Linked DNA regions of Callithrix jacchus. The protein of the gene in region 2 purifies or fractionates together with the protein of the main gene of each other region. This does not show direct contact. Links are inferred from orthologs where the notes say so. Each region holds a gene or a part of one and is shown on either strand. Other genes may lie near its edges.

What was found.
Region 1: the proteins of CSNK2A2 (region 2) and ZC3H4 purify together in Homo sapiens (affinity purification with mass spectrometry; 3 studies listed by BioGRID and IntAct, with this or other methods). This does not show direct contact. The link is inferred for Callithrix jacchus from reciprocal best matches to the Homo sapiens genes CSNK2A2 and ZC3H4.
Region 3: the proteins of CSNK2A2 (region 2) and HAGHL purify together in Homo sapiens (affinity purification with mass spectrometry; 4 studies listed by BioGRID and IntAct, counting the BioPlex papers as one, with this or other methods). This does not show direct contact. The link is inferred for Callithrix jacchus from reciprocal best matches to the Homo sapiens genes CSNK2A2 and HAGHL.
Region 4: the proteins of CSNK2A2 (region 2) and GPATCH2 purify together in Homo sapiens (affinity purification with mass spectrometry; 6 studies listed by BioGRID and IntAct, counting the BioPlex papers as one, with this or other methods). This does not show direct contact. The link is inferred for Callithrix jacchus from reciprocal best matches to the Homo sapiens genes CSNK2A2 and GPATCH2.

What each region holds. Positions count from the first base shown.
Region 1 is NC_133523.1:41,071,301-41,075,574, forward strand, and holds the start of ZC3H4 (zinc finger CCCH domain-containing protein 4), read right to left. Parts: upstream 2,801-4,274; 5' UTR 2,786-2,800; coding exon 2,354-2,785; intron 2,143-2,353; exon of another isoform or gene 1,972-2,142; coding exon of another isoform or gene 1,799-1,971; intron 1,181-1,798; coding exon 1,119-1,180; intron 1,052-1,118; exon of another isoform or gene 887-1,051; coding exon of another isoform or gene 864-886; intron 390-863; exon of another isoform or gene 261-389; intron 1-260. UniProt on the Homo sapiens protein: RNA-binding protein that suppresses transcription of long non-coding RNAs (lncRNAs). LncRNAs are defined as transcripts more than 200 nucleotides that are not translated into protein.
Region 2 is NC_133521.1:16,079,386-16,083,598, forward strand, and holds the start of CSNK2A2 (casein kinase II subunit alpha'), read right to left. Parts: upstream 2,801-4,213; 5' UTR 2,431-2,800; coding exon 2,327-2,430; intron 1,884-2,326; exon of another isoform or gene 1,710-1,883; intron 1,535-1,709; coding exon 1,423-1,534; intron 1-1,422.
Region 3 is NC_133513.1:2,984,215-2,988,235, forward strand, and holds HAGHL (hydroxyacylglutathione hydrolase-like protein), read left to right. Parts: upstream 1-1,221; 5' UTR 1,222-1,255; intron 1,256-1,470; 5' UTR 1,471-1,594; coding exon 1,595-1,699; intron 1,700-2,067; coding exon 2,068-2,132; intron 2,133-2,232; coding exon 2,233-2,540; coding exon of another isoform or gene 2,541-2,619; coding exon 2,620-2,720; intron 2,721-2,854; coding exon 2,855-2,956; coding exon of another isoform or gene 2,957-3,031; exon of another isoform or gene 3,032-3,038; coding exon of another isoform or gene 3,039-3,056; coding exon 3,057-3,136; exon of another isoform or gene 3,137-3,170; intron 3,171-3,312; coding exon 3,313-3,481; 3' UTR 3,482-3,725; downstream 3,726-4,021. Other genes in the region: CCDC78 (coiled-coil domain-containing protein 78), read right to left, coding at 1-33, 118-237, 424-528. UniProt on the Homo sapiens protein: Hydrolase acting on ester bonds.
Region 4 is NC_133520.1:11,521,156-11,525,240, forward strand, and holds the start of GPATCH2 (G patch domain-containing protein 2), read left to right. Parts: upstream 1-1,285; 5' UTR 1,286-1,404; coding exon 1,405-1,460; intron 1,461-2,368; exon of another isoform or gene 2,369-2,449; intron 2,450-3,711; exon of another isoform or gene 3,712-3,890; intron 3,891-4,085. Other genes in the region: spermatogenesis-associated protein 17-like, read right to left, coding at 930-997. UniProt on the Homo sapiens protein: Enhances the ATPase activity of DHX15 in vitro.

The DNA.
Region 1 (4,274 bases), on a different chromosome or scaffold from region 2:
GTTGGAGAGGACCAGGGTTCTCTCTCAAAGTATGCCAGGGATCAAAAGTGGGAAAGAGGGAAAATGCAACTTCAACGTGTTTTGTCTTTTAACGGAACTGATGCTTGTAAAACACATCGGAAGTACGGTGTTTGGTTCTGCAAGTCATTTCTGTTGGTTTTTTTTCCTTGTTAACGTGTAGGACGGGGGACTGGGGGCTGGAGGAGGTGTTCCCTCCAACATGACTGGGCGTGTAACACGTTTGCATCAACTTTTCACAGACATGTGCTTTCGAACAAAGGAGCAGTGGAGACAGGCAGAGATGGGGGCTTGACAGAGTTCACAGATTTTGTGCTTCAACAGTACTTTACAAATGACTTGCTCAATTTTAAGGTCCATCACCACAAGAGACATTGGAGTAAAACGAGAAAATTGGAGCTACTTGAACCAATCTTTTTGGGGGGGGAGGGAGAACCATTAACTTGAATACATGTATCATAAATCAAATTCAGTAAGCTTGTCTCCTATAAATGGACTTGAAGTATCCACTTTCTTCAAAGATGAAGGCTGGAGACAAAGCAATGGATTGAAATGGAAAGAGGGACGCCAGAGCCTGAAAACACAGGCCTTTTACATCGGTTTTTGTCATGTTACAGTAGCACACTTTTTTTTTTTTTTTGAGAAAACTGTGTACATCAAATTTAAAAAATTAAACACTGAAAGGATGTGCAAGTATAAAAGGGCTCAACAGGGTTAGAATCCTGATTCCAACACATCAATTCACTCTCAAGCATCACTTTGGTCTAAAGGCGAGGAAGAAGGCAGGCAGGAAAGGGAGAAAAAGAGGGAGATCATTGAATTACTCAATAAAAGAGGCTACTTACCATCCCAACCCATTGTAAGACATACACTTCTGACATAAGAGAACTCCTTAGAGGTCGAATAAAGCGTGTAAGCACCTTTGAGTAATGCACCTGCCCCCGGAGAGGGGGCCGGAAGCCCGACGTGGGCTTAGCGAACAGACCTTTGCTAATCTGTTTATTTCCTTGAACTGGAGTCGGGCTGCGATGGGCTGCGATTCCCAGGACGATACATTTAATTAGAACAAAACAGAAAAAAAAAATGTTGTAAAAGCTCACCAAACTGCTGCACTTGTGTCTCTGAATGTGGGTGGCATTTCTTTTAAAAGGCAAAGTATGGTCTGTGAAGGAGAAAGGGGAAAGGGGAGGGAGGAGTGGGGAGAAGGGGCAGTGGAGTCTGGCAGGGGGAGCCCTGGCTGAAACCCCCGACTAAGGGAGGTTCCTGAGGGGCTCCCCAGGCAGGGCTGCGACGGGGTAGCCATCTGTCCAGCACGTTCTCTTCCCCTCTCCACCCCCACTCCTTCCAAGACTGTCTTGCCTGCCGACCGAAACCCACCGTCCGTGTCCAAACCTACTCTCCAGCCGCCTCTTCTGCCCCACCAGGAAACAGTGGGCGAACCCTGCACCCCAACTCCTTCTGCTCGAGCAGGGGAAGGAAACAGGGCCCCAACCTCGCCCTGAAACGCGCCGAGCTGTCCCCATTATCACCCGCCAGCCAGAGAAGGGCGGGAGGGGGGCCTCGTTTCGCACTTAGGGAAGGGGGCGCTTCCTTTCACCCCCTGCCAAAGCACAAGGAAATCGCCTTTTCTCTTCCGGAAGAGATGGTGCCCCATTTTACCCCGAAAGAGGGGGGAACCACAGGAGAAAGCGCGGGACCAACTTCCTCTCCCCTACAAGGCAGGGAAACCAAACCTTCCCCCCTCCACAAAAAAGGCTAAGAGCCCTCTCACGTCACCTACCTACGAAAATCGAGAGGACCCCTGCCCTTTAGCAAAAACATGGGGAAGAGTCTTCTCTCAAAAAATAAGCAGGGGTTTTCATCAGAAGGGCTGGAGAGGCATCTCTCCCCCTCCCCAATTCTGCATTCTAGGGAATAGCTAGAAAACACCTCCCGCCAAAAATTAAGTGCCATACCCACCCAAAGGACCCTCCATTAGAAGGATGAAGAAAGGACCTGAACCCCCACTTTCTGCCTCCTAAAAAAGCTAGGGTACCTATCATCCAAGTAGGGCAGGGTGTGCCCCCCCAGGAGAAAGGATACTGCCGGGGGCTGGGAGACCCCCAACCCCAAACCCCTAAGAGCGGGGCTGTTGCTGGAGATCCCCCTAAAAAGGGTCCGGAGCCCCTCCCCCATCCCCTTCCCCGAAGTCAGGCGACGGGCAGGCGGGCCCGTGGCTGCCAGCTCCGGGCGCAGGGGCAGCCAGGACCCCCGTGGGCCTCCGCAGCACCCCCCCTGGCGCCCCCTCCCCAGGGCGGGCGGGCGGGCGCGGGGGGTCCGAGGGGCGCCTCCTCACCTTCCCCTCAGCATGGCGCCCAAAAAAGACAGAGCGAGAGCGAGGGAGAGCGGGCGAGCGCCGCGAGGGGGGGGAAACGCATGAGGCCGGGAGAGAAAGCAAGCGAGAAAGAGCGAGCGAGCTAGCGATCGAGAGACACCCACCGACCCCGCCCTTCCTCCTCCTCCTCCTCCTCCTCCGCGGCCCGGCCCAACATGGCGGTCGCCCCCCTTCCTCCTCCTCCTTTTCCTCCCCCCGGGGACGCCAGCCCCGGCCCGGCCGGGGGCCTGACCTGTCGTCAGGGAGCGGGAGGCGGTGGTGGAGGAGGTGCGGGGTGGCCGGGCGGGCGTCGGGGGAACACGGAGGAGGCGAAGGCGTTGATGGCGGCGGCGGCGATGGCGGCGGCGGCGACTCTGATGGCGGCGGCGGGGGGGTCCCGGGCGCGGCCTCCATAGTTCCTTTGGGGGGGAGGGGATGTTAATGCACGAAAAAGGACTGCTTGGGCGTGGCGGGAGGGGCACACTTCTGCTCGGAGGGCTCCTGATGGGAATGGGGTATATATTTTTTCGGTTTCGGAATCACCTCTGCGCCGACCTCCGCGTAGGCCGCTCGGCCTAGGCCTCGGCGGACCGCTCGCCGCCTGCTTTCTCCGCAGCCCACCCTTGCGGTCACTCGCTCACTGGCGCGGGGCCCTCATCGGGGCGAGAGCTCCCCGCACGCACCCCCGCGGGCCCGGGGACGGGAGATCCGGGAGACACGGACACTGGTGGGTGGTTGGATGTAATTAGCGCGGGCCGCGCGCGATGGAGCAAGCGAAGGGTAGGGGGAGAAGAGGAGAGCGAGCGAGCGAGGGGTGGGGGGTTAAAAAAAAAAAAAAAAGGATTTGAGGTAGAGAGGAGACGGGCCGACTGTCTCCCTGTCTGCTGCCCCGGGTGCCCCGGCTGCCCGGCCCCCGCCGCAATCAGGAATTGACACAAAATGGCGACTCGGCCCGGACCAGCCAAGAGGCTGAGGCGGGAGGAAGGGTGAGGTGGGAGGGGGAACTGGGAGGCGGGAGGCGGAGGCCGTGTCACGTGCAGGAGAGGGGAAGAGACCGCTTGCCCGAAGGCCGGCGGAAAGAGCCGAAGGTAAAGGGCGAGGCCGACGGGAGGCGGAAATAGCCGAAAGGAGCTGAGCGAGAGACAGGAGACGGCGGGGGAGAGTCGGAAAGAGCCGAAGGTGCTGATAGGGGTGGGGCTAGAGGGAGCAAGAGAAACCTAGGGCAGCCAGAAATAGCCTAAGCCGTTCGGGACCGGGGAAGGAGGAGAAACTCTGATGGTCCGGAAAGAGCCGAAGACAGTGTCCTGGTGGGTGGCAGGAGGTGGAAGCAGTCAGGATAATGCGATTAAGCGAATTAGCTGAACTGGCGGGGCTGGAGGGTCTATTAAGAGAATAAACCACTTTCAGAAAGTCGCCCGAGAGCAAGAGAGAAGAACCGAAAATTGCTAGCTGAAGGAAGGCGGGAAGAGCCGATAGTTTTAGGTGGGAGAATGGGAGGGAAGGAATTCAGGCTGTGGAGAAAAAATAAAAATAACCGAAAGCCGGAGGCCAGGTGCCAAGAGTCGGAGGTTTCCGGAGAAGAGGCGATGAAGCCCAGCCGCCCGGGGTGACGTCACTCAACAACTCAGTCGATGACGTCATCCTCGGAGGCGAGAGGGGCGGGGCTTGGTAGGCCCTCAGGGAAGTTTAAGGACCTGGGGTGTGGGGCCCTTCGAAGGCTCTCAAAAAGCGAAGGTGGAAACACTGCTGGTGACATAAGACTGTGTACCAAACAAATCTTTTGACCCTCACAACAGTCGTAAGATAACCTGCTGTTATACCCATTTGCAGACTGAAGTTCGGTGTTTAATTGGTTCAAGGTCATAGGATTAGTTCTAAAGAGTGCAGCAAGATTTTTTTTTTA
Region 2 (4,213 bases):
TCTTGCAATTCTGCTCCTTCATCACTAGGCTAGGATGTATTGAGTGATGGAGTTGATCATTTTTCTGAAAGGTGATTACCAGAAAGCTAACATTGACCCCTCACATTAAACAGGGATTACCTATACAGCTGCCCTAACACACAGAAACAGCTTTTCAATACCACATTCTTAGTCCACAGAACCTCTGCAAAAGGGCCACACTGGAAATCACATGTATACAAAAGTGCTTACATTACTCTTCCATCTTCTCAATCTCTCACTGAATGACACGTGCCCACATGAAATAATCTGGCAATAATGAGGACCCATCAAAGATTCTACCAATTACTTTTTACCACACCCTATAAAACATTATTAAAGCTACACAATTAATCTTTTACCTGAAGGAAAATTTAGCCGACCCTTCATGCTCATTAAAATCATCTTCATCAAAGAGATAACAAAAGCACAGCATTATCAAACTGAGATCGCTAAACCATATGTTAAGAGTTTTGTTCCAGTGATTACTTTAGAAATCATAAGTGAATTCTATATTTTTACTAGCTGATAAGCAACAAAGGCTCTCTGGCTTTCTAACAAGGCTTCTCAGCCCTACTAGTGCACTATATCCACGCCACCTGAAACTTTACTGCCAAAGAAGAAAAAACAAGTGATTATCCACTAAGGAATTTCCTTCAACTTGGGCTCGCAATACATCTCTGAAGTCACTCCAGTTTTGTCCAGCTTTCTTTATGGAATAAGGTAGATCACGCACCAAGAGTAACAAACAGTGCTCAAGGAGACCTGAAATTGAGAATGGCTTTTTGGTCTTTTGAATACCTATTTATTTTCTAACAAATGGAGCCCTTTTGGAATTTCTGCTTTAGGCACCTATAATTTACATTTTAGAACACCTTCCTGAACTTAAGAGTTGGGCTTAGATTTGTGACCAGTCTGCACATTTCCTTGAAAGTTCACAGGAAAATGGGGTGGAAAAAGAAGTAATGAAGGGTCATCAGAGAAGTAAAATTTGAGTGTGGGCTGGGCACAGTGGCTCATGCTTGTAACCCCAGCAACTTTGGGAAGCCTGCAAGGAGTCGTTCTGGAGGACTGCTTGAGCTCAGGAGTTTAAGACCAGCCTGGGCAACATGACCAGACCCTGTCTGTACAAAAAAATTTTTTTAAATAGCTGGGCATGATGGCATGCACCTGTAGTCCCAGCTACTTGGGAGGCTGAGAAGGGAGGATCACTTGAGCCCAGGAGTTGAAGGCTGCAGTGAACCATAATCTGCACTCCAGCCTGGGTTACAGAGTGAGACTCTGACTCTAAATAAGTAATTAAATTCAAGCTTGCACTGCCCATTCTAGAATGTGACTGGGGTAGCTTACATCCTTTTGCCCTGTGGGGGAACAAATGTTATTTATCACTCATAGGACACTCACCTTGAGGATTTTTACAACCACTCTCTCATTGTTGGTGATGTTAATGGCCTCAAATACTTCACTATATTTTCCCCGACCAAGTTTTCGAACCAGTTGGTAATCATCTTGATTACTGTAAAAGGTAAGAGACAGACACACATAAATGCCAGGACTGGGGGTTAGCCAAGCCTATGCCCACTATACACGTCATCCAGCCGCTTCCGCCAGGCAAACACTTGGAAGTGTCTACACATCACGTCACAACTCATTCCCTAAATGAAAGCCACGACGTAATCTTGGCTCCCTTCACTCTGCAGAGCTCCTAACCTAACTGGTCTCTCCTAACTTGGGAAGATGGGGTAGAAAGGCAACGCTCTGAGCCAATCCAGAGGGGCGAACAAAGCACCCGTCCTGAAGGCCTAGAGGGTGCCCCCTCTGCCCCGCGGCTTCACAGCACCTGCTTCCCGTTTCACACCCTGAAGGTAGACAATCCCTGTTTTAAAAATGTGGACGTCTTTAAGAAATTTCCTCCCACTACCTCATCTCAGAAAACCGAAAAGGCAGAGAATTTTAATAGCTCCAGAGGACAGCTGTTGACTTCCCACCCTAGTGGAAACCCAAAAGTGTGAGAAGGGCTGCTCCCTCACTTCCACCCAGCGCCGATCCGTGCACCCCACACTTCTCTCCGAGTAAAAAAATCATTCCTTGGGGGAAAGGGGTGCGCAAAGCGGGGAGAAAGGGACGAAACCGGGGTAAAGGGGAGGGAAGAGGAAGACGAGGACATGTGCGAGAGCGGGACCTCTGTCTCCAGCGGGGCCGCGGAGGGATCGGCGGGAGACACCACCCCGGCCGAGTGCGGGTCGCGGGGGGCGGCCGGGCGGAGACAGGGGTCAGCGGGCCCGGCGGGGGACGGCGGCGGCTTTACCCCCAGCTCGGGACGTGAGACTCGTAGTCCCAGTACTCGCGGCTCCTCAGGCTGTTCACCTCGGCGTAGACCCGGGCCCTGCTGCCCGCGGCCGGGCCGGGCATGGCGGGCGGGACCGGGGGGCGGCGCGGGGCGCAGAGGGTGGCGGCGGCGGCGCGGCGGAGGGCGCGGGGCGGCGGGCGGAGGAGGCGGCTGGCCGCCGGGCTCTGGAGAAGGAGGAGGAGGAGCGCGGTAGCGGGCGGCCGCGCCAGGCCGGGCCCGCGGGGGCGGGCGGGCTGGGGGCGCGGGGGGCGCCGGCCGAGCCGGCCCGGCCCTGGAGCGGCCGGCGGAGCGGCGGGGCGGGCGGCGCTCGCGCTCCGCGGCGGTCTCCGCTCGGCTCGCGGCCCCCAGGAGGCGGCGGCGGCGGCACCGGCAGCGGCAGCCACCGGCCGGGAAAGGGGCAGCGGCGGCAGCAGCGGAGAAGAAGGAGGAGAGGAGGAGGAGGCGGAGGAAACCCGGAAAAGGGGCCGCGCTCACGGGGAGCGGCCGCCGCCCGGCCTGGGGCCGCCCAGGCTCACAGCGCCCCCTGCAGCGCGGGGGGACCCGCCGGGCGGTGCCGACCCCGCCCCGGCCCCACCCCAGCACGCCCCGCCCCCTCCCCCGCGCCCTCCCCCACCTTGGCCCTCCCGCTGCCCCAGGCCGGGCTGTCCAAATCGCCTCACCCTCCGGCTGGCCTTACCTCACGCCACAGGAGCCCCCACTTCCACTGGCCGTTGCCTTAGAACCCTCCCCTTCGAGTCCCGACCCTTTCAAGATTGTCGGTGGAGACCCTGCCCCCAGCTCTGCAGTTGCCCAGCTTTTACCCCCACACACCTCCCATACCCTCTTCTCGCCCAAACTGTCAAGTCTCTCTCCAGGGCCTCGCTCAAACCTCAGAACCTCTCCCACCTCAATACTTCTCCCTTCCCCCGAGACGTACCCCTCCTTCCCCCTCTGGACCCTTCCCTGTTCCCGCAGACTCCTCAGTCCCCAAGACTTCCCACCCTCTTCATTCAGAGTCCTCCTCACAAAACCCTTATACATTTCCCCCAAAAGCCCCTCCAGAGCCTTCCCTGAGAACCCTCTGAATACCCACTTTGGTCACTTGGTTAAGCTGGAGTCGGCCAGGTTGTGCCACCGCAAAGTTACAATTTTTCCCTTTGTGATTAGTAAGTCGCTTGTGGGGAGAGACGTTGAGAGTCTGTAAATCTCCTGTTTTTGTTGAGGAGGAGGGAGAGCAGGAGAATGTAAATTTGACCTGAAGGGACAGACTGAGATTGGGTATGCACCGGGATGGGTGGCCAGCTGAGCTGGCCTGGCTTCCAGTGTTGCCTGCGGCCCTGGACACTCCTCTCTTTTGACATTCTAGGCCCTTCTTCTGACTTTCTTTCTCATCCAGCATCCTTTCGCGACACAACCTCTTCACCCAGTCCAGGTTGCTCTGATTCCAATCCCTTTTCACATTCTGTTTTCTGGATGAAACTCTGGGCCTTCCTCCTTGACAAAGCTAAGAGCACAGACTGTGGAGTCAGATCTATCCAGTACTGCTGCTTACAAGCTGTGTGACCTTGGGCCAATTATTCAACCTCTCTGTTTCACAGATTCTACAGCATAAAATCAGTAATAGCACCCACTTCACAGGGCTGCAAGGAGAACTAAACAAAATAAACCATGTGAAACACTTAGGATGATGTTCAATATTAAGATACTATATGTCGAATATTATCATTACCAGACACAGGGCCTTGCTCCTATCACTCTTCCCTCCTTGAGACCACCACACGTCCATCTTTCAGTTCCTTCCATCCTCTAAGCTTGACTAGGAGCCACCCCCAACTCCTCCTCCCCACGTTCCCAAGGGTGACTCCT
Region 3 (4,021 bases), on a different chromosome or scaffold from region 2:
TGTGATCTGGATGTCCACGAGCTCCTTGGAGATCTGCGGGTGGCCAGGTGAGAGGTGGCATCTGTGGGGTCTGCCAGCACCCTCCCTCCTCACAGCACCCTGGGCGCCCACACCCACCTGCAGCTGCTGCTCCTCACTCAGCGCTAGACCTGGTGGAACCTCTGCCCCCAGGCTGGTGGCCCAGGCTGCGGTGCCCCCAGGAGCTCCTGGCAGGCAGTCCTTGGCTCGTGGCACAACCTGGAGAGGGCTGTGGTCTCACTCCCATGCGATCACCAGCCCTGCTTCCCGCCTGGCTGAGCTGCAAAAGTCCTTCCCCTAGCTGAGATCAGACCCACAGTACAGGGACCTGCACCCTCCTGGCCTCTGCGGGAAAGGGCAGACTCCAGTCCCGTGGAAGGAGCAGCAGCTTCCCTGAGGACTCACATTCTCCACCTGCCGAAGGGGAGGTCCTGGCCTGGGGCCTGTGGTGGCTGCATGCTCCATAGGTGAGGGGACCCTGGCCTGCTCCGAGCCAGGTACCACCTCCATGCCTGGCCTCCCTATGGCTGCTGCCACCACCACAAGCACTGCTGTGCGCGTTGCCAAGGCTTCTGTTGGTCCCAGGAAACTGCCAGGGCCCTGCCCAAAGGGGCAGGGCGAGACCCAAGGTTGTGGAGGAGGAAGGACAGCTCTTCCTCTCCTTGCCAACGTTTCCCCCTCTGGGGAATGCGGCCCAGCGCTCCCCTGTGCATATGGAACCACGTGCGTGAAAGCACTCAACCCGGGCGCGGCGACAAGCACGCAGAACGGAGCGCGCTACCCGCACGCAGGGTGCCCTGGGCCACACTTATCGGACACCTTCTGTGAACCTTGCAGTGCTGGCTGAGCCCCGGGACGGGCAGGTGAACAAACTGGACAGATCTCTGCACCTCCGGCCTGAGAAGTGGGGGCGCAGACGTCCCCACTGGGAACAGAAAACTCGGAACCGACTGACTCAGCCCGGGCTCCTGAGGGCTTCCTGGAGGAGGTGCCAGCGCCGGGCCCGGAGGGGTCAGAACCTGCGCGCGGCGCCCCACCTGGCACGCAAGCAGCCCTGGCAGGCCTTGTGGTCTCACTACGCGCAGGATCCCGGCCGGGCGGAGGCAAGGCGAGTCCGCGGAGTGGGGCGGTTGGCGCCTCCCAAGCCCAACGCCGCACTCCGTCCGGACCCCGTGACCGGCGGCCAAGGCCCCGCCTCCATCTGTCCGCCCTTCGGGCTGTCAGCGCAGCAGTGCGGGTGAGGCGGGCGGCGGGGAAATGCGTCTGCCGGGGGTCGGGGGCCCGAGGGGCGGGGCCTGGGAGGAAGGCGGGGCCTTCGGGGGCCGGGGCTCGGGCTGGGGGCGGGGTCGGGAGGGGCCGGGTTCCGCTCTCGAAGGAGCCGGGTGCGTGGAATTCCACGCGAGTGCCGGGGAGTTCCTGGGGAGCCTCCAGCCTCCTCCTCTGCCCCCGCAGCGTGTTGACCGACCCGCCTCACACAGCCCTTCCTAAGGTGTGGAGAGCGGGCCCCGCCCTGAAGGGGCACCGTGGCCTGGGGGGCCTGTTTTGGAACAGGCACCGGTGGCCAAGCTCCGTGGCCATGAAGGTCAAGGTCATCCCCGTGCTTGAGGACAACTACATGTACCTGGTCATCGAGGAGCTCACGCGCGAGGCGGTGGCCGTGGACGTGGCCGTGCCCAAGAGGGTGAGGGCAGGCCGCGGGCCGCAGGGACACGGCCGTGCCCCCCGCCCCCGAGAGCCTCCCTGACCCCCTGGCATGAGCGGTCCCCACGTGCTCTGCTCTCCGGGCGTCACTGGCGGCTGGGGTTGCTCCATCATCTCGTGGCTCCCTAAAGTTAGGGCGCCTCTGGCCTCCGCCCTTCCCCTGCTGCCTGGCCGTCCCCGCAGGTGCAGGGGCGCAGTCACTGCCCGCTGGGTCCCCGCTCTCCGGCGCTGCCCAGGGTCCTGGCCGGCCTGGGGCGCTGAGCGCGGCGGACCTGGCGCCCCGATATGGAGAGGGAGGGAATGGCCCACTGGGACCGTCTGTGTCATGACAACTCCCGTCCCTTTCAGTTGTTGGAGATCGTGGGCCGGGAGGGGGTGTCCCTGACCGCCGTGCTGACCACCCACCATCACTGGTGAGCGCCGGCGGGGCGGGGCGGGGCGGGGCGGGGGGAGGCGCGAGGACGCCGCCCAGCCCCACCCGGACCTGACCTGGCCCCGCCCGCCCGTCTGCAGGGACCACGCGCGGGGAAACCCGGAGCTGGCGCGGCTGCGTCCCGGGCTGGCGGTGCTGGGCGCGGACGAGCGCATCTTCTCGCTGACGCGCAGGCTGGCGCACGGCGAGGAGCTGCGGGTGAGCGCGCGCCCCCGGGAGGGCGGGGTGGGTACCCCGGGACCGCCCGCCCTCATGGGTCCGCCTGCTCCTCCGCCGCAGTTTGGGGCCATCCACGTGCGCTGCCTCCTGACGCCCGGCCACACCTCCGGCCACATGAGCTACTTCCTGTGGGAGGATGATTGCCCGGACCCACCCGCCCTGTTCTCGGGTACCCGCAGCGCGGAGCGCGCCCACCCCGCCTCCCGCCGGCCCCGCCCCCTCTGCTCTGACCCGCCCTCCCCCGCCAGGGGACGCGCTGTTGGTGGCCGGCTGCGGCTCGTGCCTGGAGGGCAGCGCCCAGCAGATGTACCAGAGCCTGGCCGAGCTGAGCACCCTGCCCCCCGAGACGGTGAGCGGGCCTGGGCCCTCCCCTCCTTTCCCGTGGGCACAGCCCCCACGCTCCGCACCCGCACTGTGCCGGGGTGCAGAGTGAATGCCCACCAGAGGGCAGAGCGTGCGCGCTCACCGAGGCTCTTCCTCCAGAAGGTGTTCTGCGGCCACGAGCACACGCTCAGCAACCTGGAGTTTGCGCAGAAAGTGGAGCCCTGCAACGACCACGTGAGAGCCAAGCTGTCCTGGGCTAAGGCACGGCCCCTTCCCGCCTCGGCTGGAGGGTGGGGGAGGACGGGCTCTGGGGGGCTCTCAGACAAGCCCCAATGATGACCAGGGCCTGTGGTCACTCCAGAAGAGGGACGAGGACGATGTGCCCACAGTGCCCTCGACTCTGGGCGAGGAGCGCCTCTACAACCCCTTCCTGCGGGTGGCGTGAGTATGGCCGTTGTCTGGGGCCTCGGCAGGCGTGCGGACCCTTAGGAAGGCATCTGGGGGCCTCGTGGAGGGCTGAGCATCCCTGGCTCGGGGGAGGCTGCTCATTAAGTGCCTTCCTGCCCACCCTCCCGCGTCAGCGGTGGGCCCCACGCCTCACTGCACCCCTCCCGCAGAGAGGAGCCGGTGCGCAAGTTCACGGGCAAGGCGGGCCCCGCCGACGTCCTGGAGGTGCTCTGCGAGGAGCGGGCACGCTTCGAACAGGCAGGCGAGCCGAGGCAGCCACAGGCACGGGCCCTCCTTGCGCTGCAGTGGGGGCTCCTGAGTGCAGCCCCCAACAAGTGAGCCCCCCACAGACCCTCACAGGGCTGGGTCTCACATGCCTCTTCATGACCTCAGCCAGCTGGACTCACGCAAGGGCCACCTCTGGAAGCTTCTAAGAGGCTCTGGCCTGCCAGCTGCCCAGCCTCAGAGGGTGGACATGCGTGACCACTCTGCGGGGCCCGTGGGGGCCCGGAGACCTGGGTGTTTGGGAAGTGGGATGCATGGGGCTTCTGAACCACGAATAAAGCCGTTGTCAGTGCTGGCAGACGTGCCAGGAGGAGCTGTTTTCAGAGGCGCATCGAGGAGGGTGCCTTTATTCGACGTAAGCGCTGGGAGACGGGCCTGGTGGGGACCTGGCTGGGGGGTGATGCAGCCACTGGTGCCTGCTGGTGTCCTTAGCTCGCCCCTCGGAGCTTTCCAGGGGGCCCGGCAGGACCAGCTCTGTCTCCCACCTTCTTCGCAGAGCTTCAGGGGAAGCCTCTAGAAGTTGGGGGTAAGAACCCATCTTGTTCCGTCTCAGGCAACCCCAGGACAGGCTGAAGCCTCTCATGCACCTGGGTG
Region 4 (4,085 bases), on a different chromosome or scaffold from region 2:
TACAGGCACGTGCCACCATGCCCTGCTCATTTTTTGTATTTTTTTTTTCTTTCTTTTTTTTGAGACGGAGTTTTGCTTTTGTTACCCAGGCTGGAGTGCAATGGCGCGATCTCGGCTCACCGCAACCTCCGCCTCCTGGGTTCAGGCAATTCTCCTGCCTCAGCCTCCTGAGTAGCTGGGATTACAGGCACGCGCCACCGTGCCCAGCTAATTTTTTGTATTTTTAGTAGAGACGGGGTTTCACCATGTTGACCAGGATGGTCTCAATCTGTTGACCTCGTGATCCACCCGCCTCGGCCTCCCAAAGTGCAGGGATTACAGGCTTGAGCCACCGCGCTCGGCTCATTTTTTGTATTTTTAGTAGAGACGGGGTTTCCAGGATGGTCTCGATCTGTTGAACTCGTCGTGATCCACCCGCCTCGGCCTCCCAAAGTGCTGGGATTACAGGCTTGAGCCACCGCGCCCGGCCTGATACTTTCATTTTAAAAAGGCAAATGAGTCAAAGAACAATTGAGTTCAGTGACGTTTGTGAAATCCTGGAGGCTCAAATCCTTAGGTAGATGGGGAGCAGTCGGAAACCAGTGGGCTAGTGAGCCAGGGTGAACCCCAGTCAGGGTATTGAACCTTGAACCCGAAGAACATAGGTTTCATCAAATCACAGAGTGGTGATATCGAAGAAAAACACTTTACAATTTTATCTATGCTGAGGGTTTCCCTAAATCCTCTCACACTGAGTATCTATGGCCCCTATCTATTTAGAATTTTGTTGTATGGTAATACAAACAAACGATTATGTTTCCAGCCCATTAAGGGGAGAATTGGGTGTTACTTAATGAATTAGGGAAATCGTTAATTGGAAACTCCCGCTGAGGAACAACTGATAGCAAGTTCTGCCAGCCCTTTACGCGATCCTTCTCTTTCTGACTTACCTGTTCCTAAAGTAGTACTCATTTCCTACAGTCAACGACCTAGCTTGCAGCCAGGCTAAAGTGGCCATGGTCTCTTGGCGTTGGCTTACAACTGCTGTGCCTACCGGTGTCCATGGTAACTGGGCTAAACCATAGCTCACTCCCGGGGGGGTTCCATTGTTTGCTCACTGCTCTTTTCTCTGACGCTATTTCGACTTTAAGAGTACTAAAAAGACAACTAAGAAATTTCTTTGCAGCACAAAAAGTTTAATTTATTTGTCTCTGTCTCTACTGCGAGTATGAGGAGGGGATTATAGGAAGGGAAAGCAGTAGGCGAGGAGAACTAATGGTTGCTCCAGGCATCCGGTTTCGGCCTCAGTCGGCTTCCGGAAGTTCATCTCAAAATGCTGAACTGTATTTTGCAAGTCGCCGGTGCTGTAGTAGTTGGAGTCTGTTCACGGGCCTGAGCCTGTGGCCAGGCTCTTGGGTGTCGTTAATGTTCGGGGCCGCCGGGCGCCAACCGATCGGAGCTCCAGCAGCCGGGAACAGCTGGTGAGTCTGGCGGCCCTGGGGAGGGGGAGGTCAGGGAAGGGTGTGATGGCCTGAGGCCGCTCCGCTGGACCTGGAATGGAAGCGGGAGGGAGCTGTGATGGATGGTCTGAAGACATCTAGGCCTTGCTCTCACTCATTCCTGAGATGCACGCAGTTTGAGGGAGCTTTTGAGAGTATGCCAAAAAATTGTGAAAGAGTACAGTAAATGTTTGCTGATTGCTTAGCAATATTTTGGAAGTCATGCTTCCTGTAATCCCAGGAGCGGTTTTATCTCCTCATTGATTGTTGACAAAACTAGGCACAGGAAGAATTTATCTTAATCTGGGCCTTATTCCCCACTCCTCTTTCAAAATTCACCAATTTATACTAAGTCTCTTGGAAGATAAGTTCAATAATGGAAAACACATCACTCACCCCCTTTTTTGGAGGGGGGAACCTACTTCCACCCTCTTGAACATTCTAAGTTCAAATGAGATGTGTATGGGGGTGTTCCAGGAACTAATTTTACAACCGTTAGGATTAAGTTTGGGGCTTGACTATGTCTATGGTATCATGTCACCAGTGCCACGTTAGAATAATATATTGCTTTGACTTTAAAAGATATTTTCACAAATTAATACACTTTGTCTTATGACAGCCCTGTGATACCAGAATATCAAAAGCACAGAATATCCAAGTGTCTTGTCCACAGTTGCCCTGTACATTTTAATCCTAGAGCTAGGATCTGGGTTTTGGGATTTCTAGTTGAATACTGTAATATCTGTCCTATTTTTCTCCCAAGCCCTTTTCTTCCAAACGTAACACAAGACAACCAGTGAAACAATCAATTTCCTACTGAAAACCTTAAACATAAAGTTTTGACCAACAGGTGAAAGAAATGTGGCTAAACAGTGCATGTTCATTCCTAGATTCTGCAAAAATTAGAACATGAGGAAGTCTAATAGTCTGTGATCTTCAAGAATTATTTTACATCACCTATCATTGCAAAGGTATCCAAAATCTTTTTAGTTAGGGCAGGTCATCCTGTAGTTAAGTTTATAATGAATATAGATTTGATTTTACTCTTTTTAAATTATCACATTTTCTAGTGAGAAAAGTAGGGAGCACTTTTTAAATGAACCAATTTTTAATGGTGTAACTAGCATAGAATGAACTGCATAATTCTTAAGTGCTTGATTTTATTAGTTTTGGCAATTGTATATACTTATATAACCACCACGCAAAACGAGATAATGGACTTGCCCATCATCCCACAGTTCCCTCTCAAGGATACCTTTCTTAATGTTTCACCATTCATTATCTTTGTAAATCAGGGAGATAAAGTGTCATCTGTAGATTGGTCTGCTCTTCCTAGGGCACTCTTGATTTGTAGGATAGGTGACTGCATCAGAAGAGGACTGATTCTCTCAACTTCTTCTGCCTTCCAAATCGTGATTATGTACTGAGAGAAACCTCCTTCAATTCTCTTTTAAAGGCTCTCTTGTCATACAACCATTTCCTATGGCACCAGAGTATAACAAAGTGGTAGCAGTTAGTATTTTTGAATGAAATTCTTAAAGTCATTCCTGTTTTGGCACAATGAACATGTTCCAAAAAACTGGAACTTTATTTTTTAGTCTGCCTGTATGACTATACAGTCATTCCAGATTCCTTAATGGAATTTTCTTTTTCATTAATTGGACAGATATTTACTATACAACATATATGTGTAATCCCAGTAATAAATTCCAGTCCCACTGGGAATACAGCTACTAAGCAGTTAACTAGGTGCCAGGTTTTACATGCATGTGTCGTCTCATGTAAATCCTTTGAGGTAGGTGTATCATTCTTTGTGTTTTAGATAAGGTGATGCAAAAGCAAAGATGGTTTAAGTAACTGGCCTAAGTGTATTGTATTTGCAGGATGATTCCAATATACCCCCCCCCCAAATTCTTAAATAACTTGTAGATTGCCTATGTCTCTGAATGAGATACAATATGTAAACTAGCAGTTATATGTCCAGATTTATTAACCAGTCTGGAATTTCTAACTTATTTAGCTCCCATCTTGACTTTCTCTTTTCTTTTTCATTTCTTTTCTTTTTTTTCTGAGAGAGAGTCTCACTCTGTTACCAGGCTGGAGTGCAGGGGTGCTGTCTAGGATCACTGCAGCATACACCTCCTGGGTTCAAGGGATTCTCCTGCCTCAGCCTCCTGAATAGCTGGGACTACAGGCACATGCCACGACACCCCGCTAATTTTTGTATTTTTAGTAGAGACAGGTTTTCACCATGTTGGCCAGGATGATCTCGATCTCTTTGACCTCATGATCTGCCTGCCTTGGCCTCCCAAAGTGCTGGGATTACAGGCGTGCACCCCCATGCCCAGCTCATCTTGACTTTTTCAACTTCTCTCCAATTTGGAGGTTGCTGTTTCAATTTTTAGGCACCAGGTGGATAAACGTAGGTAATTTCTTTACTCAACTATGGTATTCTGTTTTTTTTAACTTTGTTATGTGGCTTTGCTTTTAAAAAAAGCTGTTAAGATAAACTATATTGACTCTGGAGTTTTGTTTCTGTATTTTCATTCCTATTTGGTATTTTGATTTTATTGAAATCTGAAAAACTGAAAAATCTGAAATCTGAAA